7 linked regions of the Macaca fascicularis genome follow. The protein of the gene in region 1 purifies or fractionates together with the protein of each later gene. This does not show direct contact. Links are inferred from orthologs where the notes say so. Each region holds a gene or a part of one and is shown on either strand. Other genes may lie near its edges. The genes, in order: SF3B1, H1-1, SON, PRPF3, SNRPD2, SNRPD1 and RBMX.

What was found.
Region 2: the proteins of SF3B1 (region 1) and H1-1 purify together in Homo sapiens (affinity purification with mass spectrometry; 3 studies listed by BioGRID and IntAct, counting the BioPlex papers as one, with this or other methods). This does not show direct contact. The link is inferred for Macaca fascicularis from reciprocal best matches to the Homo sapiens genes SF3B1 and H1-1.
Region 3: the proteins of SF3B1 (region 1) and SON purify together in Homo sapiens (co-immunoprecipitation; 3 studies listed by BioGRID and IntAct, with this or other methods). This does not show direct contact. The link is inferred for Macaca fascicularis from reciprocal best matches to the Homo sapiens genes SF3B1 and SON.
Region 4: the proteins of SF3B1 (region 1) and PRPF3 purify together in Homo sapiens (co-immunoprecipitation; 3 studies listed by BioGRID and IntAct, with this or other methods). This does not show direct contact. The link is inferred for Macaca fascicularis from reciprocal best matches to the Homo sapiens genes SF3B1 and PRPF3.
Region 5: the proteins of SF3B1 (region 1) and SNRPD2 fractionate together in Homo sapiens (co-fractionation; 5 studies listed by BioGRID and IntAct, with this or other methods). This does not show direct contact. The link is inferred for Macaca fascicularis from reciprocal best matches to the Homo sapiens genes SF3B1 and SNRPD2.
Region 6: the proteins of SF3B1 (region 1) and SNRPD1 fractionate together in Homo sapiens (co-fractionation; 5 studies listed by BioGRID and IntAct, with this or other methods). This does not show direct contact. The link is inferred for Macaca fascicularis from reciprocal best matches to the Homo sapiens genes SF3B1 and SNRPD1.
Region 7: the proteins of SF3B1 (region 1) and RBMX fractionate together in Homo sapiens (co-fractionation; 3 studies listed by BioGRID and IntAct, with this or other methods). This does not show direct contact. The link is inferred for Macaca fascicularis from reciprocal best matches to the Homo sapiens genes SF3B1 and RBMX.

What each region holds. Positions count from the first base shown.
Region 1 is NC_088386.1:93,049,546-93,053,503, forward strand, and holds the start of SF3B1 (splicing factor 3B subunit 1), read right to left. Parts: upstream 2,801-3,958; 5' UTR 2,772-2,800; coding exon 2,744-2,771; intron 1-2,743. UniProt on the Homo sapiens protein: Component of the 17S U2 SnRNP complex of the spliceosome, a large ribonucleoprotein complex that removes introns from transcribed pre-mRNAs.
Region 2 is NC_088378.1:146,912,123-146,914,645, forward strand, and holds H1-1 (histone H1.1), read left to right. Parts: upstream 1-1,316; 5' UTR 1,317-1,374; coding exon 1,375-2,022; 3' UTR 2,023-2,023; downstream 2,024-2,523. UniProt on the Homo sapiens protein: Histone H1 protein binds to linker DNA between nucleosomes forming the macromolecular structure known as the chromatin fiber. Histones H1 are necessary for the condensation of nucleosome chains into higher-order structured fibers.
Region 3 is NC_088377.1:13,348,670-13,352,169, reverse strand, and holds part of SON (protein SON), read left to right. Parts: intron 1-444; coding exon of another isoform or gene 445-474; exon of another isoform or gene 475-718; intron 719-1,227; exon of another isoform or gene 1,228-1,307; intron 1,308-1,982; coding exon 1,983-2,130; intron 2,131-3,500. UniProt on the Homo sapiens protein: RNA-binding protein that acts as a mRNA splicing cofactor by promoting efficient splicing of transcripts that possess weak splice sites.
Region 4 is NC_088375.1:110,908,746-110,911,419, reverse strand, and holds the end of PRPF3 (U4/U6 small nuclear ribonucleoprotein Prp3), read left to right. Parts: intron 1-1,811; coding exon 1,812-1,958; 3' UTR 1,959-2,174; downstream 2,175-2,674. UniProt on the Homo sapiens protein: Plays a role in pre-mRNA splicing as component of the U4/U6-U5 tri-snRNP complex that is involved in spliceosome assembly, and as component of the precatalytic spliceosome (spliceosome B complex).
Region 5 is NC_088393.1:53,756,366-53,760,372, reverse strand, and holds the start of SNRPD2 (small nuclear ribonucleoprotein Sm D2), read left to right. Parts: upstream 1-1,207; 5' UTR 1,208-1,260; coding exon 1,261-1,262; exon of another isoform or gene 1,263-1,994; intron 1,995-4,007. Other genes in the region: QPCTL (glutaminyl-peptide cyclotransferase-like protein), read right to left, coding at 240-446. UniProt on the Homo sapiens protein: Plays a role in pre-mRNA splicing as a core component of the spliceosomal U1, U2, U4 and U5 small nuclear ribonucleoproteins (snRNPs), the building blocks of the spliceosome.
Region 6 is NC_088392.1:68,147,116-68,151,396, forward strand, and holds the start of SNRPD1 (small nuclear ribonucleoprotein Sm D1), read right to left. Parts: upstream 2,801-4,281; 5' UTR 2,685-2,800; coding exon 2,671-2,684; intron 1-2,670. UniProt on the Homo sapiens protein: Plays a role in pre-mRNA splicing as a core component of the spliceosomal U1, U2, U4 and U5 small nuclear ribonucleoproteins (snRNPs), the building blocks of the spliceosome.
Region 7 is NC_088395.1:143,024,301-143,026,839, reverse strand, and holds the end of RBMX (RNA-binding motif protein, X chromosome), read left to right. Parts: intron 1-40; coding exon 41-166; intron 167-253; coding exon 254-336; intron 337-972; coding exon 973-1,283; 3' UTR 1,284-2,039; downstream 2,040-2,539.

The sequences.
Region 1 (3,958 bases):
GGTGATGTACCAAAAAATCTAATTCAAAGGATTAGTGGCAAAACAAGCTGATACACAGGATTTTTGATTAACCCATTTTTCCCCTTACAAAACAGAGAAGAATATGTGTTCCCTATTTGTTTGCCAAAGTCAGCAGTATCTGAAGAACTGCTGGATGGCAAGATTATGCATATTCATAACCATACACCTGACACAATTTAATATGCGGAAAGATCTAAAAGATTTTATCTGATTTGAGTAAGTCCAGCTCTTTTTATATTTCAATCCTGGAAAGCATAAGCCACATTGGCCAGGGTAAAATATAATCAGATTGGTTAAAGAGGATGTGAGGCCTGATCCTAATAGAAATGTTTGAAAGGGTTCAGGCATTGTGGCTCATGCCAGCAATCCCAGCACTTTGGGAGGCCGAGGTGGGAGGATCACTTGTGGTCAAGAGTTTGAGACCAGCCTGGCCAACATGGCGAAACCCTGTCTCTAAAACTACAAAAATCAGTCAGGTGTGGTGGCGCATGCCTGTGATCCCAGTACTCTGGAGGCTGAAGCAGGAGAATAGCTTGAACCTAAAAGGTGGAGGTTGCTGTGAGCTGAGATTGCACCACTGCACTTCAGCCTGGGCAACAGAGCAAGACTCTATCTCAAAAAAAAAAAATAAATAAAATAAATGTTTGGAAAGAATATGACAGCAAAATAAATAAATAGTTACCAGTTTATCTCAATCTTGGAGCTAAGTAGAAGAGAAAATCTTAACACAATAGACTACTCTAAGTAATATAACATTTATACTGAGTGCTATGGCAGCACTGCCCCTAAAAGCATTAATTCTGCTTCAGTTTATCAAAAATGGCTTAACAAGAGAAAACAGTGATGGACCATGAATAATTAGAGTTCCACCAAGAAAATGTCATTAGGAAGGAAGCAAGAAGCTATGTCAGTATTATGTGTATTTCTACTAAACATTTATTATCCCCTGACTTATAACCCATAGGGATGGGCACAGACAGTGTTCAAGTATTGAATGTTCTGCTATTTTCTTATGGCATCACTTAATTCACATTGATAGAATAATCTCAAAAATAACAAGTTTGGACAATGAATAGCAATAGACCAAAGCTTTTAGCTGGGTTTCTAAAAAATTCAGGAAAACTGATCAAAACTTTGATTTTCCTGTTTGAGAGCATCTTATGCTACCAATAAATATCAAAGCTATACTATCAATATCCCCAAATGAATAACCTCCTGAATGAACAAAAACAGCACATCTTTATATTTTCTACTTATTTTGCAAAAGGTTATATTTGAGATAGTCTAAAGAAAAATAATAAGGCCTAAGAACACTAAGAGAGCATTTAAATCCTAAATACCTAAAATAATACTGGTATTAAAGCCATTGCCAATTCATTAGCATGTCTGATAAACAGCAGAAAGCTGGACTTCAGGTCCTCCGAGTGACCCAAAAATTCAAAGCCATTCATATTCTGGTCCTAAACCAACCTTTACAGATTCATTTATTTCTTCTCTCCTTGCACCCACTGTTCCTGCCACAGTGGACTACTACTCAAACACACCTTTCACGATTCAATACCTTGTTACAAGATGTTCTCAGGCTCAGATGTCCTTCCCGATTTAAAACTGATCCTTTTAAAACAGGGACATGTAACCTCTTCAGTGAAATAACCCTAAGCATAATAATTCCGTTATCCAGGTTCCCAGAACATGTTGTTTGTTCTTCTACTTAAGCATGCATTTGGCCTCATGAGAGAATGAGGACATACACATCTGTTTCCCCTACCTGACTGTAAAATTTTGGATGGCCTCAGTCTGTTACCTTTCACAGACTAATGCTGAGCCAAATACCCAGAAAGAACATATGAAACAAAAGTGAATTAGAAGTCTCGTTCTCAGTGAAAATCTCGGATTCCAAGTCAGAAATCAAAGAATGCAGTTCCAACTTCCCATGCCTCGTCTTTTCTGAAAAGTGATCCCGTTTCCTGTCATCTCTGGATATTTCCTAATGAACTCCAGTCTATTCCCAACGTTTTCCTAATTTGCACACTCTGCATTCCATAAAACGATCAACTAGTTTGAAAGCTTCGGCCGTTAATGAAAGTAATTTATCTTTTCCTTTTCCATCTGGCTCTTCCAATAACCAGTCTCCAAAGAAAAAGATCAATATTATACTAAAAGTGACTAAGGGAGGGAAAACTACTACCAGATTTTATCCCCAAATCGTTTCGTGCAAGAAAAATAAGCAAGTAACACTGACGCTTGAACACACACGGGGGCAGGAGTAATGGAATCTCGGTTTAACTAAATTCGATTCAGTCCTGCCGGAAAAGCGGATGCCGTATTTCAGTGCTTTTCTGACCCTCTTCTGCATAAACTATGCGGACGACACTGTCGACAGGCGAGTGAGACTTTCTCCCCACGCCCGCTTCCCAGATCCCTTGCCCACGAATCCTGCTGAGGAAGCCGCTTAAACAAGGCCCTCTGGTCGGAGAAGAGAAGCTACTCTGAAGTAGCAGGTCCCAAACACCGAACAAAGCGCCTGTCGGGGGTGTAAGAGGAGGACGCCATTACGCGGGGCAGTGGCCTGCGCCGCTGGCGCGGAGGAGACGACCCTTGGCCCCGAAACGCGGGCTCGGCTCCCATGAAAGAAACCATAGGAAAAGGCAGAATCCTAGGAAGAAAGGCTCTTAGTAAGCTAGCAACCAAGAAAACACGTAAGCAGGGAAAGACCGCTTACCTTCGTGAGTCTTGGCGATCTTCGCCATTTTGTCCACTCGAACACACTGACGGAACTGGCGCTCCCAAGAACTTCCGCTCGTCGCCGCCGCCACGGAGAAAAAAATAGCTGGGGGCTGCACTCTGCGCGTGCGCCAAACAGAAGCGCGCTCCGTCGGGTGACACGTGACACAGCTGCCACCTAGAGGGAACCGCGAGGTGCATTGTGGGTGGGGGAGGAGTCACGGTTGGGACCTGAAGCCGCCTGCGTGGTGACCCAGGAAATCCTCGGGCTAAGCCGTAAGGTCCTTAAGTGAGTAACTTTGCCTTGGAGGAAAGTGGGTTCTACGAGGGGAGTTAAGAACAGACACTGAGTCCCAGCTACTCTAGAGGCTGAGGTGGGAGCATCGCTTGAGCCCAGGAGTTCAAGGCTGCCGTGAGCCGTAATCGTGTCGCGCCACTATACTCCAACCTCCAGCCCGGGCGAAAGAGCAAGACCCCGAGACCCCTCCCATAAAAAAAAATGAACACTGTACGAAACACTGCGGTTTCAGAGCTGGAAGAGACCTCAGACGTTCAATCCCTTTCCCACAATTCACCAGAAGAACTCGAGGAAAACTTCACCTTGCAGCTGTCTCAGTCTTTACAGTGCTTAGTTACAAAGACAGTCTTAACAGTCTCATCTCTCGCCCTGTAATTCAAGGTCATTTTTCATTATTTCTGTTTAATAATTGCAAATAATTTGGGTAAGAATTTCGTTGAGCCTCACAAATCGTTATTGAGTTGCACAGTGAGAATCTTACCACCCTTTTAAAGCCTTTTAACTTTATGGGTTCTTAGAAAACCACTCATCGTCATTATTAACATTCATTAAATGTTTCTCTTAAATCGTAGACGGTATTCCTAAATCAGGAATTTTAATAGATCAGAATGCATTCTGTTTTCCTAGACATCAATTAAAATATCATAACCTTGTACCGTCACACTGATCTTGGACTTCGACAATGAAAAAGAAAGGCTCAGAAAGATGGGTCCCGGAAGCAGCCCAGGAAAACAGGTAGTTATCAAGGTTAGAGCCATCACAAAGAAAGGAGTACCTCGCCATGTGATAAACCTACAACCCAAATACTAACCATACCATGGGTCATTATGGTCGTTTGAAGGGAGGAAAATGGTATGGGTGTATTCCTCTTGCAGAAAGACCCCATGTCTACTTTGGGTACAGTGAGGAGCCATT
Region 2 (2,523 bases), on another chromosome or scaffold:
GCGTGGCTTCTCAATAAAATAGACGTAGGAAACACTGGTAAAGAAGATGGGTACAATAGTTATCTGGGACTACTACAATTATTTGGTTGACACGTTGTTTGAAGAAAAAGGGAAAAAGCTCAGGTTACTTAGCACAGTTCGGACTTATTTAAAAACTACAACAGCACGAACGGAAATAGACCGCATTCCCTCACTCTCCGCTGTGTTAAGGGGTTATCCAGAATAGGATTGTAGAAGTGGATGTCGATTTAATAGTTTTTTTGTTCTCCCGTTAGCTGAGTCTCTGATTGGCAATGTGAGATCGTTTTAGCTTATTGATAATTTGAAATGCTCTTAACAGCCACAAACAAGCTAAAGAGAGGTTACCATAAAATCTTATCCCCAGGGTGTGCTTACACTTACCGTTTGTTTTCACACTAAGGAGACTTAACTCCCCAGCAGAATGCCTGTCGGGGAACCAGTTTCTTGGACCCAGCATTTAACGCCTTTCGCAGGTTTGTGAGGCCCATAAATCTTTGTTGAATAAAACAATGAGTTCACCATGTCATGGTGCGCTCATTGCATGTGCTGACATGGAACACAGGTTGTAAACCTTAACACCCATTTGGGGCATGTTGTATGGATGAAAAGGGCATTGGAAATTCCTGAAGTGCATCCCACATTGGACTGTGGAAGTAAGTTGCAAGTGCAGAAACGTTTCCACACTTGCAGTTTGAGTATTAATTGCAGCGTTAGTGAATTCTGGTGTTGTCTACGATTCATTCTTCTTTGACGTGAAAGGTATTCGCGAGACACATCGCTCTAAAACATTGCCAGAAAATGTAATCGAGTTGATGACTACTAGCCCTAACACGGCCTAAAACCCGCACTTTCCTCTTCCTCCCCAACTATTCAAACACTGTATTTTACATTTCTTGCAAATTAAAAACTAACATATCTGGCAACGGACCTCTAAAACTTTCTAATAAAACTCCCTGGATGCTTGTGGGGCTGCATTTGCAAACCGCTCCCCATCAACCTACTCCCTAAAACAGAGCTGCTTTTTGAGAGACAAGCGGCACCCTCTGATGTTACTAGGTGGCAGTCGGCCTACAATTTCCTTCACAATGAGGCAATCGGAGCGGCTTTTTCGGTGTGTTTGCTTGCGTTGAGGGGAGCGGGACCATAGGCCCTAGAGGCCCCCAGGTGCTCTCTGAGACTGGGGGAAACCCTCTGCAGAGCGCAGGGGGCGCTAGGGTGCGAGGGGCGGGCACTGACGGGCACCAATCACTGCGCAGTCCCACCCTATAAATAGGCTGAGTCGGGGCCTTTTTTTTCTCGCATCCTGCTTGGTCAGGTTTATACCAGTTTACTTGGTGTGCTGTATTAGTCACCATGTCCGAAACGGCGCCTCCCGCTCCCGCCGCTTCTGCTGCTCCTGAGAAACCTTCAGCTAGCAGGAAGGCAAAGAAACCTGCTAAGGTTGCGGTGGCCACTAAGAAAAAGCCTGCTGGCCCTTCCGTGTCAGAGCTGATCGTGCAGGCTGCTTCCTCCTCTAAGGAGCGTGGTGGTGTGTCATTGGCTGCTCTTAAAAAGGCGCTGGCGGCCGCAGGCTACGATGTGGAGAAGAACAACAGCCGCATTAAGCTGGGTATTAAGAGCCTGGTAAGCAAGGGAACGTTGGTGCAGACGAAGGGCACCGGCGCCTCGGGTTCCTTCAAACTCAACAAGAAGGCATCCTCCGTGGAAACCAAGCCCGGCGCTTCAAGGGTGGCTGCAAAAACCAAGGCAACGGGTGCGTCTAAAAAGCCCAAAAAGGCCACGGGGGTTAGCAAAAAGAACGTCAAGACTCCAAAAAATGCTAAAAAGTCTGCGGCAACAAGGAAATCCTCTAAGAGTCCCAAAAAACCCAAAGCTGTAAAACCCAAGAAAGTAGCTAAAAGCCCTGCTAAAACTAAGGCTATAAAACCCAAGGCGGCCAAGGCTAAGGTGACGAAGCCAAAGACTGCCAAACCCAAGAAAGCGGCACCCAAGAAAAAGTAAATTCGGTTGGAAACTTCTACTAACCCAACGGCTCTTTTAAGAGCCACCTACACACTTCGGGAAAAGAGCTGTAGTACACAGATGAAATTCCCCCAAGCAAATGCAATACGCCCTCATTTATATTAGAATCACTTGGAGAGTCAATAGGAACTTTAACATAGGTTGAGTAGTAAATTCTTGCCAGATGAGGCTATCAAAGATAGCAAGGTGAATTCAAATGCACCGAGTTAAAGTCGAATTTTAGATCACCTGTTTTGCTTTTTTTTTTTTTTTTAAGTAGCCCGAAGTCCCGCATCTCACGACCCCAAGCTAATTAGTCATAACTGTAACGAACCAAGGTTGAAGCCTAGTCCCAGGCTTGAGGCTTTTTTATTATACAAGGTTAAAGTGCGGACATTGCGTTCTTGGGTCAATATTGCTAAAGTAGCCTTTTCCGAAATTGGGTGGTCCTAAGAAATGCTTCTGGGATAGTAAGCAAAATTCATGGCTTAATCACGCCCT
Region 3 (3,500 bases), on another chromosome or scaffold:
TTAAATATCACAAAGATTATCTATTCATTAAATGTGTAATTGTGTTTAGAAAACCTGTCAAACGATCATTTTGGCTCTTCTTTAGTATAGTCCAGCATCCACCTATGTGTTAAAAAACACATGGAATACCAACATCCTCTGTGTTCTTTTTAGTTTGTTGCAGTATATTTTTAGATTTTAAAAAAAGCAAAGTTTTATCAGTATTCTCATTAATCAGTAAAACACTTAAAATAGTTGGTTTAAAAGAACTTTTATTTCTGGAATGGGATGATTTGGATGTGACCTGATAAATAAGAGTTTATTATTGTGGTCTCATTAAATTAATCAGCTTTTTCACATTGGGGTAAAGAAACAGATGACGATACTAGGGAATGGAAACAAAATTGGAAACTTGGGTTATCTGGGGATTTATATTGTACTCTGCACAGTTGCCCTTTTTTTTAGGAGTGTTCCCTGGAAAAGAGGGACGGATGAACCTGGAAGTAAGTAAAAGACATTCTAGGTGTGTAGCATCAAGGCAGTTAATATCCAAGCATCAGCTTTCTCTTTATACATCTACACTGCATGGCCTGCACCAAATAAGGAACTGAACCAGGGGTATGTTTTTACCTCCACAGCTGCCTCCTTCCATCAGAGCATCTTGATGAACTTAATGTCTAGTCACACATCATTGGCATGTTTTCTCCCCAGCATTTAATTATAAAGCTGGGAAACAAAAGATGATAGTTTTACTACTGCATACAAACATGTTTTTTTTTTTTTTTACATTCAGTATTAACTTATCAATATAGGAGATGTGAATACATACTATTTCCTGAGCTACCAAAGTTTTTTTACTCTGTTGATAAGTTAATGACTTTTGCTATATGTATATTTATATATATATTTGGTAGAGAACATAAAAACCTAAAATTTAGTAACAAGGGGAAAATAAAGCATGATCTGGAGATACATGTTTCAAATTTTTAAAAAGTGGCCATAAAGATCAACAGTAGAATTTAATACTGTTATATGTACATGGATGCCCTTTAATAAGAGGCATTGAATATTTCTTAACCTGTAAAAATAAGTGTTGATCATGCTAATGTATATACTTGTGCATCTTAGGACATTAAGTGGTTTGCTGCTTTGATGGAAATTATGGTTCAGTGGGTTGGATACAAGAGAGATGATTGTTCACAGAATAACCTGTGAACTTTCACCCCTCTGTATGGAAACTTGTTTCAGGGCCAAATCCTTGTAGCTGTCTTCTTGCCCCGGTCAGTGCCAGCCGTACTATTCACAACATTGCTGCTACCGAGGCCTAGGTATGTAAACATTTAAGGAGTTTTTTAAAAGTCTTTTAACATCAAGCTAGGTTTTAAAAGAATTCAAATTCATTTTGGCATACTTACAGGATATTTTATGTGATTGTTTTCTATTTGTTACTGTGTAAATTTCAGGAGTTTTTTTTTTTTTGGCTGCTTTAGGGATTTTCTAAAGTAAAATATTTATACTTGCTTTATAGTAGAATGGGGAAGAAAACTTTGGATGACAACAGTATGCTTCTTCAGTGTCTAAACTATTTCTAAGTGATTTTTGGGCTTTATTCATAAACTAGGTACACCTGGGACAATTAATATCATTGATTGTTTTAACATTGCCTTCTTTTTATTTTGCAAGCTAAGAAGAGATACCAGTGAACCTAAATAGTGGACGAAAACAGGAGTGTTCTAATTTTTTTTTTTTTTGAGGGGGGCACGAGGGCTACTGTTTCAAAACTGCCATTTACTTGTCTTATTTAACTTCTAAAATACTATTACGTTAATGTGAAAATAATCAGAACATACACACTACAGTATGTATATAGAGGAATTTACATTTAATTGCTATAACAGATCTAGAAGTAAAATAAGATTCCTCTTTTTAGAAAGTAAACAATGAATCTGTTACCACATTCTAACTGTAAAATGGGGACATTTTACCTTTCTTTCTTTGGATAGGATCAGTTCTTAAGAGCAGCCCCGGTAACTGGAGGAATGGGAGCCGTTTTGATGAGAAAAATGGGCTGGAGAGAAGGAGAAGGATTAGGAAAAAACAAAGAAGGCAATAAGGAACCCATTCTAGTTGATTTTAAGACAGACCGAAAAGGTAATAAGTTCTTTTTTGAAATGTTTATTAACACCTCCTTTAACATTACCTTTAATATATCCTTTTGAACCCAGTGATCTTGAACTGAAGGCATTTCTTGTATATATACAGCTATTTGTCAGAAAAAACATTAACCCCTTTTGGGGTTCACAGAAGCAGCTTACTTTTATATAACTATGGATAGAGACACCAGTTTGAACTTTTAAAAGGCACCTTTTGTTATGCTAGTTGCTAAATATGGAAATGTGTATATATCTAATTATATTATTACACCTCCAAATTCAACCAGATTTCATGTTTAGAAAAGAGGATTTCCATTTTATTTTCTCTTGACAAAGAACCATCCTTATTTCTAGTTTGGTTTATTTTTTGTTATTTCCTATTACAATGCTGTTTAGTCTAGATTTCATAAACCCTGTTTGCTTTTTTTTGGTTGTTTTTTACAAGCTCAGTAGTTTAGTTGGGTTAGAGTATAGTAGACCAGCTGCTGACAATAATGTTACTTCTTCCTGTTGCCTGGTGTTAAGGCATTTTGGAACCATTAGCATTGACTGTATTTTCCTTTTACCTTCAGATACCTGGGTAGGACAGCACTGTGTCTTCCATGTAGCTTGTATGTAGTTGTTAAGTATTTAATCGTTCCCACAGATAATAGCTAATTGGCATCTTTTAAATAACTTCTTCCTTTGGAATAATGTAAGTGGAATCACGAGAGGCTTGCCAGCTCAGTATGATTTTTTATAGCTTGTTTAAACCTCATTTATAAAAGCTGGCAAATGTAAAACTGGGATTTATTTTCATCTTTGTAATCAAATAGTAAGTTGAAGCTAACTTCAACAGTTAATCTGTGTTAATGAATTTGGAAATGAACTAGCTCTGCACCAAATACTTTGGTGTAAGTATTGTACAATTTCAGGAAGCGTTCTCCTTGGAATTGTGGGACATGGCCTGACTGTAAGCTCTCGGAGAACCACAGATTTCCCAGGATAGGTTTGGAAAAGCTTGTATTAGCACGGAATTATTTAGCAAAGGTTGAAAAATTTCCTGTAACATACAAGATGAGCACCCCACATCTGGAAACCTGAAATGCTCTAAAGCAGAAAACTCTTTGAATACTGATATGATGCTCAAAGGAAATGCTCACTGGTGCATTTTGGATTTGAGCCTCTTCAGATTTGGGATGCTCGACCAGTAAATACAATGCAAATATTTGAAAACCTGGAATCATGCGACACACTTCTGGTCCCAAGCATTTTGGATAAGGAATACTCAACCTGTATATGGAATTGGGAAAGCAGTGTTTGGGTTTAGCAATATAGCTAATCCCCTTTGTAATAAGCCTATGGAGAGGGAGGTTATGTAGAAAGGTT
Region 4 (2,674 bases), on another chromosome or scaffold:
GTAATTGCTATTAATAGTTTTTCTTCTGAAGGAGCAATAAAAAAAAAAAAATTAAAAAAAAGGTTTTCATGTATCCTTCTGCCTTATCCCAGATTCTTCAATTTATGCATACAAATTAGATGATAATAACCATAGTATTTGTTTCTCTGTTTAATAAGTTCCCACCTGCATATTATCTTTTTTTTAAATCAATTTTTTTTTTTTTTGAGACGGAGTCTCGCTGTGTCTCCCAGGCTGGAGTGCAGTGGTGTGATCTCGGCTCACTGCAAGCTCCGCCTCCCGGGTTCATGCCATTCTCCCGCCTCAGCCTCCGAGTAGCTGGGACTACAGGCACCCGCCACAACGCCCGGCTAGTTTTTTGTATTTTTAGTAGAGACGGGGTTTCACCATGTTAGCCAGGATGGTCTCGATCTCCTGACCTCGTGATCCACCCGCCTCGGCCTCCCAAGTGCTGGGATTACAGGCTTGAGCCACTGTGCCCGGCCAATTTTTTTTTTTTTTTTTAGAGACAGGGTCTTGCTCTGTTGCCCAGGCTGGCGTGCAGCGGTGCAGTCATAGCTCACTGCAGCCTTGAACTCCTAGGGACAAGCAATTCTCCAGTCTCAGCTTCTCAAGTATCTGAGACCTCAGGTCCACACCACTGTGCCTGGCTAATTTTTAGAAATGCAGTCTCACTATGTTGCCTAGGCTTGTCTCGAACTCTTAGCCTTGACTGATCCTCCCATCTCAGCCTCCCAGAGTGCTGGGATTATAGGCATGAGCTACTGCGCCCATATCTTCACATATCTCAGCCCCCTCATCTCTTTTCAATTTTCTTCTATTTATCTCCGAAGAGTACTTACTGAAAAAGTCGCGGCTTCTTAGAGAACCAGTATTAATGTTGTAGGAATTTAGTTTTCAGGAATTGTCTTTCATATTCAGAAATAAGCCAAGTTCTGCTCCAGCCTCCTTATTGGAGTCTACTCCCTGAAAGCCTCTTGAGGTAGTGCTTTATGACTGCCATTGCTGCTGGTGCCTTTGGCAAGAATGCCGTTCTACCCAGTACTGTCTTTTTTTGTTGTAATTCTCTGCTGGTACCTGCTCTTCTTCTGTTCCCCACCCGGAGTTGTTCTTTGTTGCTGGGCCCCAAAGCCTTCTGCTTGTATAAATAGTTTTTTGGGCCTTTTTGAAGGCCCAAATTTAGTCCTGAAGGCCTGGTGGGAGATAAGTTTATCTCATTCCACCTTCCATAGTTCTTCCTGACTTGCTGTTCCACCCAGGCACCAGAGCAAAGAATTCCTCATCCTCATTTCAAAAATCTAAAAACCTTATACATATGAATTCATAAAAACTCATACAAATATCCAAGGAAATGGAGGTCACAGTTTTTTTTTTTTAACCATAAAATCACGTTCAGCTGGGCACATGTCTCACAAATGTTACTAGGTCTTTTTTTTTTTTTTTTTTTTTGAGACGGAGTCTCGCTCTGTCGCCCAGGCTGGAGTGCAGTGGCCGGATCTCAGCTCACTGCAAGCTCCGCCTCCCGGGTTCACGCCATTCTCTTGCCTCAGCCCCCCGAGTAGCTGGGACTACAGGCGCCCGCCACCTCGCCCGGCTAGTTTTTTTTGTATTTTTTAGTAGAGACGGAGTTTCACCGGGTTAGCCAGGATGGTCTCGATCTCCTGACCTCATGATCCACCCGTGTCGGCCTCCCAAAGTGCTGGGATTACAGGCTTGAGCCACCACGCCCGGCCTACTAGGTCTTATAAAAGAATATTATATCTGATTTAAATAAGAAATTGAAGTGTTTTTATTACATATCTCTTTCCTAGGGTACAGCCAAAGACCGGAGCTTTGGAGAGATGAAGTTTAAACAGTGTCCTACAGAGAACATGGCTCGTGAGCATTTCAAAAAGCATGGGGCTGAACACTACTGGGACCTTGCGCTGAGTGAATCTGTGTTAGAGTCCACTGATTGAGACTACTGCAAGCCCTTGCCTCTCCCCCCCTTGCCTTTGTCTCTTCAGTCCTCTCACTTATTCTATTTCCCAACCCACTCCCACTTGTTGTGTGATCTCAGAACTGTGCCAAGCAGACACTGGGACAAAGGGAGAATATCTTGCTCCCCTCCCGAGTCAGCCTGGTGTTGCCCTTTATTCCCCTTATGTGCATATGATTAAAGAGTTATTTTTAAACTTGGTGTGATATTTTTCACACATTCCTAAGTACTAGAGTTTGGGTCTCCAGGTGATCTTTTTTCCAGACTTTTAGCAATTGCTGTAGAAAAAAAATTTTTTGTCATTGACATTTATTTATATATATAAATGGATGAATGGATGGATGGATAGATGGATGTGTATTTTTGAAGTCTAGTGGAAATGTCTGATCTCATCCTGGAGCTAGAATGAGAAATACTGTTTTCCTGGAGCAGAATGAAGCAGGGAGATGTGTAAAGTGGTAAGGGAGAGAGGAGGGACAAATGAGTATCCATCCCTTAACTGAGAGAATCACCAGGTCAGACAGATTACCTCAGGACTTGGCTAAGTAGTCTTTCCAGGAAATCAGTTCCTCTAAGGGGTGCATATGTGGGAATGTGTGTTGTGGGTAAAAAGGACACAGGGAGAGTCCAAGGAGGATGCTATGGGTCAGTTTGTAAAGTGGAATAGGATTTAAGAATTTAGCCCATTTTGTCTCT
Region 5 (4,007 bases), on another chromosome or scaffold:
ACTAAAGGCGTAGAACCCTGAACCCCCTCGTCTTACTATTTCAGACCTTTCCTCATAAAAGGAAGCTACTGTTGTAAAACCAGCCCGAAGCCTTATTCCTTTGGTAAGGGTCATGCGCTCAGATGACGAAGACTGTGGCATCTGCGGTTAGGGCCGTACGCTAAAGCCAAGTCAACCCTGGGTAACAGCGGGGAGGGAATGAGGGTCCCCGCGGTGCCCGGGTCCCCGCCCAGCCTCACCCGCAGCTCCCGGCCCAGCGGCAGCTCCTCAGTCCTGCGGTGCCAGCCGCTCCAAATGGTGTAGAACGCCGAGCCCACGGCCAGCGCCAGCAACAGGGGCAAGAGCCGAACCCGCGGTAGCAGGCGGCGCTTCGGGGGCAAGAGTGGCTCCATAACGCCACGTTCCCCTAGCCGCAGGCGGGGCCGCCCGCGGCCCCCGGAACGCATGGCAGCTATGCCCTGAAACCTGTACCAGACCACGATTGAGTTTAGGCCCAGCCAAGTTCCACCCCATGGAATCAGTGGGCCAATAAGCAACAGCAGCGGCTGCACCTGCCCACCCCACAGCGAGCAGCGAAACCAATAAGAGCTACGGTCCTGAGGACACGCCTCCCGGCCTCCCTTGGGTATTGGGGTTGGTTCTTCTGAGAATGGCACGACCCAAAAGGGAGCGCAAAAGAGATAGGCTCCGCCTTAGCGGAGGGGGAAAGCCAATGAGCAGCGTTTGATCGTGGAAAATATTCAATCTCTCGGGCGCAGGTCCATGCCCCTCCCGGATGTAGGCAGGGGATTGGTGGCGCAGGGTCGGAAAGATCAGTAGATACGTCAATAACCCGTCCCAGAGGGAAGAGGGGCGGTGCCTGTCTCCGAAGCGAGGAGCGGATTGGCTTCAGCGGAGGCCGCGCCCCCGAAGTCACGGCCGGCGGGCATTTGGAAATAGTTTGTCATTTCCCTCCTTAAACCTGTACCATTCTTAAACGAAACGGTTTGAATCAGACCGCCTTTCCTTTTGTCTTCATTGTCATAAACATCTGCCCCGTGTGGTTCTGACTGGCCTCGAACCCCTATCCGAGGCTTTTATTCTTTCATTGTGCACCGTTGGTGGGCAATGCTATGGCAACAGGCCACGCCTCCACTTACTGGTTGGCTTTGCGCAGGCGCCAACGGAAGTGGGTCGCAGGAAGAGGAAGTCCCGCCTCTCTCGCCTCAGGCTGCAGCAACGCGGAGGAAACGGGAGTGAACGGAGAGCTTAGTGACCATCATGTGAGGCCGGGCTAGGCTTAGGCGGCGGGAAGGAGGTTGAGGGTGGAAATTTTGACCGATTGAGGGTGGGAAGGGTTGAGCAGAGAGCGGGGTGGGGGACAGGGGCAGATGTTTTAGGGATGGAGCGTCCTGCGTTTCTCCTGATGAGTTTGAGAACGGGCGTGGGGCCTTTGACGCATCGTGACTTCGGGAGAGGGGACAGCTTTATCAGATAACGCGCTGGGCTGGGCGCGGGGACTCATGCCTGTGATCCCAGCATTTTAGTAGGCCAAGGCGGGAGCATCGCTAGAACACAGGAGTTTCGAGACTACTCTAGGCAACATAGCGAGACCCCCGTCTCTACAAAAAAAATTTTTTTTAATTATGAAAAACATATTTTAAACGATAACGGAGGGGGGTCCTAGATAATTAGTCCTATTGAAGTGAATGTTAAGGGGCAGCGATTTTACGAATACTGGGGGAGGCCGGGCGCGGTGGCTCAGGTTTGTAAATCCCAGCACTTTGGGAGGCCGAGGCGGGCAGATCACCTGAGGTCAGGAGTTTGAGACCAGCCTGGCCATTGTGGTGAAACCCCGTGTCTACCAAAAATACAAAAATTAGCCAGACGTAGTGTCGGGCCCCTGTAATTCCAGCTACTTGGAAGGCTGAGGCCGGAGAATCGCTTGAACCCGGTAGACGGAGGTTGCAGTGAGCCGAGATTGCACCACTGCACACTTCCAGCCTGAGCGAAGAGTAAGACTCCATCTCAAAACGAAACAAAAGAAATCAAAACGAATACTGGGGAAGGGAAGTTAGGACTTTTAGAAATAATGATTTGAAATAAGGGACTTCTCCTGATCATTTGAGCTGGAGACAGATGCGTTTTCGACCTAATTCACAACTTAAAGGGATAACGAGTGATTGGCATGATTTTGCTCATTTATTAGTGCACCAAATATTACATTGAATGTTTATGTATCAGACACTGCTTAAGCCACATAGGATACATCAGTGAATGAAACCTTTTGTTCCCAAGGAAAAAAAAAATCTTTTTTTTTTTTTTTTTTTCCCGAGACATAGCCTTGCTCTGTTGCTCAGGCTGGAGTGCAATGGTGCGATCTCAGCTCACTGCAACCTCTGCCTCCCGAGTTGAAGCAATTCTCCTGCCTCAGCCTCCCGAGTTGCTAGGATTACAGGCACCAACCACCATGCCCAGCTGACTTTTATATTTTTAGTAGAGACCAGATTTCGCCATGTTGGCCAACCTGGTCTCAAACTCCTGACCTCGAATGATCCACCTGCCTCGACCTTCCAAAGTGCTGGCATTACAGGCGTGAGCCACCGTGCCTGGCCGGGCGTGAGCCACCATGCCTGGCCGGGGTTTTACTTTCTACACTGAGATGGCGGGGGGGCATGGGAGGATTTTCTTTTGTTTGTTTGAGATGGAATCTCGCTCTGTCACCCAGATTGGAGTGTAGTAGCACGATCTCTGTCTCCTGGGTTCAAGTGATCTTCTTGCCTCAGCCTCCCAAGTAGCTAGGATTACAAGCATGCGCCACCATGCCCAGCTACTTTTTTTTTTGGGGTGGGGGATGGAGTCTTACTCTGTAACCCAAGCTGGAGTGCAGTGGTGTAATCTTGGCTCACTGCAACCTTCGCTGCTGGGGCTCCAGCGATTCTCCTGCGTCATCCTCCTAAGTAGCTGGGACTAGAGGCATGCGCCATCACACCTCGTTAATTTTTTTGTATTTTTAGTAGAGACAGGGTTTCACCATGTTGCCCTGGGTGGTCTGGAACTCCTGAGCTCAGGCGATCCACCCCCCTTGGCCTCCCAAAGTGCTGGGATTACAGGCGTGAGCCATCACACGCAGCCTAATTTTTGTATTTTCTAATTTGTATTTATTTATTTTTTGAGACAGAGTCTCGCTCTGTCGCCCAGGCTGGAGTGCAGTGGCATGATCTCGCTTCACTGCACTCTCCGACTCCTGAGCTCAAGCGATTCTTCTGCCAGAACCTACCAAGTAGCTGAGATTACAGGCGTGCACCACCACGCCTGGCTAATTTTTTGTTGTTGTTTTTGTTTTGTTTGTATTTTTAGTAGAGATGGGTTTTCACCGTGTTGGCCAGGCTGGTCTCGAACTCCTGATGTCAAGTGATCCACCCGCCTTGTGAATCATCACCAGCTGGATGCCTAACAGACATTTTCTTTTCTTTTCTTTTCTTTTTTTTTTTTTTTTTTTTTGAGACGGAGTCTTGCTCTGTTGCCAGGGTGGAGTGCAGTGGCGCGATCTCAGCTCACCGCAACCTCTGCACCACAAAAGTGCTAGGATTACAGGCATGAGCTACCGTACCCAGCCCCTGGGAGGGCTTTGAAGAGTGACATGTTATGATTTAGGTTTTAGCACAGCCCCCTCAGACCACTCTGTGGAGAACAGACTGTCAGGGAACATGGGTGGAGGCAGAGAGACCGGAAAGATTCCAGGTCAGAGATGACAGAGGCTGAGGCCATGGTAAGAAATGGCCACTTCCTACAGATTTATTGTAGGATGCAAGGGAAAAAGAGGAATCAAGTTGACAAAGAGTTTTTGCCCAGAGAACTAGAAGGCAGATGGGGAACACTGTGGATAGGGTAGGCTTCGGTGGTTGGGTGATCTGGACCCCGACCTGAGACATGCAGAGTTGAAAATGTCTGGCTGAGCGCGGTGGCTCACACCTGTAATCTCAGCACTTCGGGAGGTCGAGGCGGGTGGATCACGAGGTCAGGAA
Region 6 (4,281 bases), on another chromosome or scaffold:
AGGCAAAATTCATGTATGGTGGAAGAAATTGGTTGCATCTAGGGGTATGGAGTCAGAGGTTGCCTGGGAAAGGCTTGAGGAAACTGAGGTTTTGGTAATGTTACTTCTCTTGATAGGGGTTTAGGTTACAAAAGTGCTTATGTTTTTCAATAGCAGGAAATATACGCTGCATTTCATTGTATTAAGATATTCACCTCAAAGAAGGAAAACAAAAATCCATGAGTGGGATAAAAAGGGCCTGAACCTCAATGGTGGTGACCGGAACGAAAGGAGGCTACTATGGGCAGGACAAATACACAATTATCCCTCCCTAACTGAACCCAGGAACCAAATGGATTCAACTTATTTTCAGACGAATCTTTCAGTATCTGAATTCTTTCTACTTAGTGAAACTTAGATATCAAATAGTCAGATAACACGGTGTCCCTCAGTATCAAAACACACTATCTGAACCCAAAAAACAAACAGGAAAATGTGGGACACTTTTATGCAGTAGGTAAAACTGGCAGTGTATCAAATGTCAAGGACATCAGGAGAGAAAAAGTCAAGCTCACCTCCCAGGTTTTTGGTTAGGGTGACAGTGAGAATAAGGATGACAACTACCAACTGATATACAGAAATTAGTCTACTGAAAACGCAAACCAGTTAGTCAAACAATCATTTTCTGGAGGAAAAATACATTCTCTGGTAAGAAAAAAATTTTCTTTCTATATTTGACCTAAGACACAAAACAGGATTCAGTCCAGCTATTAAAAATTACTGGAAAATTGCCATAACATGCAATATCTTTAAAGGGAACAAATGAAATCCAAGGTGTATTACATAAAATTGAACTATGAGTAGATTAAGATTCAGATTAGCAGGTATGGAGAAATTTCAAAAAATGTTGTAATTTTCTTTTTTGAGACAGAGTCTCGCTTTGTTGCCCAGGCTGGAGCACAGTGGTGTGACGTCGGCTCACTACAACCTCCCGGGATCAAGCGCCTCTCTTACCTCAGCCTCCTGAGTAGCTGGGATTACAGGCGCCCGGCTAATTTTTGTATTTTTCGAAAGACGGGGTTTCACCACGTTGGCCAGGCAGGTCCTGAACTCCTGACTTCAGGCGATCCGCCTGCCTCAGCTTCCCAAAGTGCTGGGATTACAGGCGTGAGCCACCGCGTCCAGCCTAAAAAATGCACTTTAAATTCTATGACTTCCTATCCAAAATTATAGTTCAAATAAAAATACAACAAAAATTAATCTTAATTGTCTTTTGTACCAACTCCTCCCTGAATTTTTTATTTTTTTATTTTTGCAACGGAGTCTCGCTCTGTTGCCCAGGCTGGAGCGTAGTGGCCAATCTCAGCTCACTGCAACCTCTGCCTCCTGGGTTCAAGCGATTCTCCTGCCTCAGCCTCCTCAGTAGCTGGGATTACAAGCGCGCGCCACCACGCCCGGGCAATTTTTGTAATTTTAGTAGAGACGGGGTTTCACCATGTTGGTCAGGCTGGTCTCGAACTCCTGACCTAGTGATCTGCCCGCCTTGACATCCCAAAGTGCTGGGATTATAGGCGTGAGCCACTGCGCCTGGCCTCCTCCCTGAATATTGAAGGCTTTTATGTGTTATTTAAAACGTTTCAAACAAACGTTATCTACTTGTCTGTCATCCCCCTAACTAGAAAGCTCCAACAAGGATCTGCCTTTTAAAAAATACTATTACCAGCGCCCAGTAGGTAACAGGTGCCCAATAACTATTTAGCGGATAATGACAATCCTTGACTCAACAGGAAAGAAACAAGCTAAATATTTATAATCGATGGCTTAGTTATTAGAAACGTCTGCCTCTGTTCCAGGCTCAGTCTCAAGGAAAAAGACCAAAACCAAATCTACTCGCAGGTAGTTTGGAATTAGTCTCCAGAAGACTCACCTAAGTGACAGGGTCTATTTCTCGCGAAAGAAATAAAACAGAATAACTATATATCATCTGGGTAATCAGCCACAATTACGTTGTGATAATTTCTGCCCTATATTGGGAGATTTTCCTAAATAAAAAGCTTACCTTAACAGGAAAGAGGTAGAATAATCAATCATAAGTCTAAGGAGAATCAAAAGATAAACTTAAAAATCGGCCGGGCGCAGTGGCTCACACCGGTAATCTCAGCCCTTTGGGAGGGCGAGGCAGGCAGAACGCTTTAGCCCAGGAGTTCGAGACCAGCCTGGTCAACAAAGTGAGACACCGTCTTATTTAAAAAAAAACAAAAACAAAAACTTGTGAAGCCAGAAGTCCTTCTCTGATTTAAAACAGTTTGCAAACAGGTTTGTTTCCAGATAAGCTCATACAGCTTTCTAAGTACTCTTAAGTAGGGCTGGAGCTCCACTCAAAAAGAAAATCAGTAACTGTAAGGGCGAGATGTCTCCCAGGCGGCGCTGCACCTTGAAAGTCTCTAAGTCACTAGGCGGGAAGAAAAGGCTCGGCCTTTATACCAGTATCTTGGAAGACACGCGGGATCCGCGAGCGACCCAGGCAGAAGCCCAGGCCCGAGCACGAGCTGCGGGCGCAGTAAGGCCGGCCGTTAGCAGGCCGCGCACACGCGGCTTTCCCGCCTCCTGCAAATGGGAGAGCCCAGCCTTCCGGACTCCGGGCCAAGCCCTCCCTCCACAGCCCCCAGAGCTGCTTGGTCACTCCCTCACCTCACGAGCTTCATCCTAGCGGCGCCGTCACCCTTCGGGTCCGAGAGCGCACAGAATCCAACAACCGAATACTGACCAACTGCAGTATGAATGGCCGGAAGCGCCTACTCCAGGGACTCCGGTCGTAAAGGGCGCGCGGAGCACAGCAGACGCACGGCGGAAACGCCGAGGCTGCGCTGGGCCGCACTCTCTTCCGGTCGCGAGGAGCGCGACTGCGGCCCCTGGCGGCTGGAGGTTGCCTTGCCACGACTGAGGGTGTTGAGGGCTGGTCTAAGAGGAAAAGTGTCCCACAAGAGAAGGAGATTCGAAGAGGTTAAATCCAATTAATAGGACTGTCGCACTTTGGGAGGCCGAAGCGGGGGTATCACCTGAGGTCAGGAGTTCAAGACCAGCCTGGCCAATAGGGTGAAACCCGCGTCTGTACTAAAAATACAAAAAATTAGCCGGATGTGGTGGCGGGCGCCTGTTATCCCAGCTACTCGGGAGGCTGAGGCAGGAGAATCGCTTGAACCCGGGAGGCGGAGGTTGCAGTAAGCCGAGATCGCACCACTACACTCCTGCCTGGGCAACAAGAGCGAAACTCCGTCGCGCGCGCGCGCGCGCGCGCGCACACACACACACACACACACACACACACACTAGTACTGTCACCATCACGTTTCTGAATAGCAGGGCACCGTGAGTGCAGCACCTAATATAAATTCCTCACTGAACGAAAATAAGTTCTTAGAGAAGCCCAAAGGATTATGCTAATTCTGTTCCAACGCCAGGAACCTTAGCATTACTTAATGTACCTGAAGCAATTCACACAATGAGCCGGGCGCTGTGGCTCACGCCTGTAATTCCAGCACTTTGGGAGTCCGAGGCGGGCAGATAGCGAGGTCGAGAAATCAAGACCGTGCTGGCCAACATGGTGAAACCCTGTCTCTACTAAAAATACAAAAATTAGCTGGGCGTGGTGGCACACGCCTGTAGTCCCAGTTACTCGGGAGGCTGAGGCAGGAGAATCGCTTGAACCCAGGAGGCGGAGGTTGCGGTGAGCCGAGATCGCGCCACTGCACTCCAGCCTGGCAACAGAGCGAGACTCCGTCTCAAAAAATAATAAAAATAAAAAAATAAAATCACACAATGTAGCGGATTATTTTCACTTTAAGTTCCGATCTATAAGACAAACTTTTCAATCTTCATCTTTCACAACATCTCCTCAAAATTTATTTTTATTGTTTTTCTGAGACAGAGTCTCCTTCTGTCGCCCAGGCTGGAGTGCAGTAGCACCATCTTGGCTCACTGCAACCCTTGCCTCCCCGGTTCAAGCGATTCTCGTGCCTCAGCCTCTCCAGTAACTGAGATTACAGGGGGGAATCACCACGCCCTGCTAATTATTGTCTTTTTAGTAGAGACAGGGTTTCCCCATGTTGGCCAGGATGACCTGAACTCCTGACCTCAAGTGATCTGCCTCTCTAGGCCTCCCAAAGTGCAAAGTGCTAGGATTACAGGTGTGAACTTCATCAAGATTTAACACAAACACTCCCCTTACCTCTTTCAGGTTTCAGGATGCCAAGCTCACCTGGCCTTTTTCCTTATCCCACTAACTACTCTTGTTTGTTTTGT
Region 7 (2,539 bases), on another chromosome or scaffold:
AGCTTATCAAAAGCATGAACCAAAACTTTTGTGTTTGTAGCTATTCAAGCAGAGATTACCCAAGTTCTCGTGATACTAGAGATTATGCACCACCACCACGAGATTATACTTACCGTGATTATGGTCATTCCAGTTCACGTGATGACTATCCATCAAGAGGCTATAGGTAAGTGACTGCTTCTGTGGCTTGCATGTAAGAAAAGTTGCTATAAAAGTTGATGCTCTGGGACTTAAAGGTTTCTCTTTAATTTAGCGATAGAGATGGATATGGTCGTGATCGTGACTATTCAGATCATCCAAGTGGAGGTTCCTACAGAGATTCATATGAGAGTTATGGTAAGATACTGGTTAAGGGTCTTGAGTATCACCAGCTTGAGTTTTTAGGTTCGTGAGCCAGTTTTTTAGGCTGCGTGGTGCTTGCTTTTTAAAGGGATGTTTGCTTGCTTTTAAAGGGGTAACTTTATCAGCTGGGCTTTTCCTAGTTTTGTGAGGGGCTTTTTTTTTGTTTTTCTAAGTTTCTTTTGAGGCTGTTTGCTTGCTTTGGAGGGGATTTTGCTTGCTTAAATTGGCAGCCTTATGTGTTTTCCCCCAACAGTGAAAATACAATTTAAAAATTTTATTAACAAGATCAAATATTTACCATTGCAATATGAAGGCAAGTTCTACAGTTCAAAATTGCAACTTATCACTGGAAAGTGGCTGAGTGTCTACTATAAAATAACAAGCTCTCTGGAATATCCTCTTGAAATACACACCGTCTTCAGTCTTTTCAAACAAACATTAAAATGAATCCATTTCCATATCTCAGCAGATGAGCAAATCCCTGTTATGGCCAGCAATGGCAGAGTTTAAAACCTCCCACCCAGTTGAGAAAGTAAACTTTTAATACAAGAATTCTGTAAATTCAGATTTAAAATGTTGTATATATACAATTTATAGTGTTGCCATATTACCTGACCATTGACCCTGCAGGTAACTCACGTAGTGCTCCACCTACACGAGGGCCCCCGCCATCTTATGGTGGAAGCAGTCGCTATGATGATTACAGCAGCTCACGTGACGGATATGGTGGAAGTCGAGACAGTTACTCAAGCAGCCGAAGTGATCTCTACTCAAGTGGTCGTGATCGGGTTGGCAGACAAGACAGAGGGCTTCCCCCTTCTATGGAAAGGGGGTACCCTCCTCCACGTGATTCCTACAGCAGTTCAAGCCGCGGAGCACCAAGAGGTGGTGGCCGTGGAGGAAGCCGATCTGATAGAGGGGGAGGCAGAAGCAGATACTAGAAACAAACAAAACTTTGGACCAAAATCCCAGTTCAAAGAAACAAAAAGTGGAAACTATTCTGTCATAACTACCCAAGGACTACTAAAAGGAAAAATTGTGTTACATTTTTTAAATGCCCTGTTAAGTTTTCCTCCATAATTTTTATGTTCTTGTGAGGCAAAAAGTAAAACATGTTTAATTTTATTTGACTTTATGACATTGCTTTTCAACAAGCAAATGTTCTTGTGAGGCAAAAAGTAAAACATGTTTAATTTTATTTGACTTTATGACATTGCTTTTCAACAAGCAAATGTTAAATGTGTTAAGACTTGTACTAGTGTTGCAACTTTCCAAGTAAAAGTATCCCTAAAGGCCACTTCCTATCTTGATTTTTCCCAGTAAATGAGGCAAGCAATTCTAAGATCTTCCACAGAACATCTAGCCATCTAAAATGGAGAGATGAATCATTCTACCTATACAAACAAGCTAGCTACTAGAGGGTGGTTGGGGTATGCTACTTATAAGATTTCAGAGTGTCTTCCAACTGAAATCTCAATGTTCTCAGTATGAAAAACCTGAAATCACATGCCTGTGTAAGGAAAGTGCTATTCACCCAGTAAACCCAAAAAAGCAAATGGATAATGCTGGCCATTTTGCCTTTCTCACATTTCCTTGGGAATCTGCAAGAACCTCCCCTTTCCCCTCCCCCAGTAAGACCATTTAAGTGTGTGTTAAACAACTACAGAATACTAAATAAAAAGTTTGGCCAAAACCAACCATGAAGCTGCAAAGGTGCTTGCTCTTACTGTTTCAAATTTTTGCAACTCTGTAGTGTCTCACTTTTAAAGGAACAGCTTGATTGCAAAGGAGAAAATAGATAAGCAATGAAGTTATCTCCAACTTCCTAAAGGCTTATGACTTCTAAAAAGTGAATCTATCAGCATTCCACATCAGATTTAAAGCATCAAATGCCTGTGAAACAGCAAAGATGGTAAGCAAAGCAAACTAGTTTTTCCGTCTAAGTCGAAATTGAACACTTACCTTCCTCATAGTACAGTGAAACATACTGTACCTCAAGGCAATGGAAATGCCTTCTAGATTAAAAAACTTTTGGAGAAAAGAAATATTCAATAGCATATTAGAAGTCTTCCAAATTCAACACTTGGATTCTTTTTTTTTTTTTTTAAGCATGTATGACACTTAAAGGCTTTATTAATAAAGCTGTTGTTTACCAATGGCGATCTGGGGCTTGGGAGGGGGTATTTTTTTCAAAGTC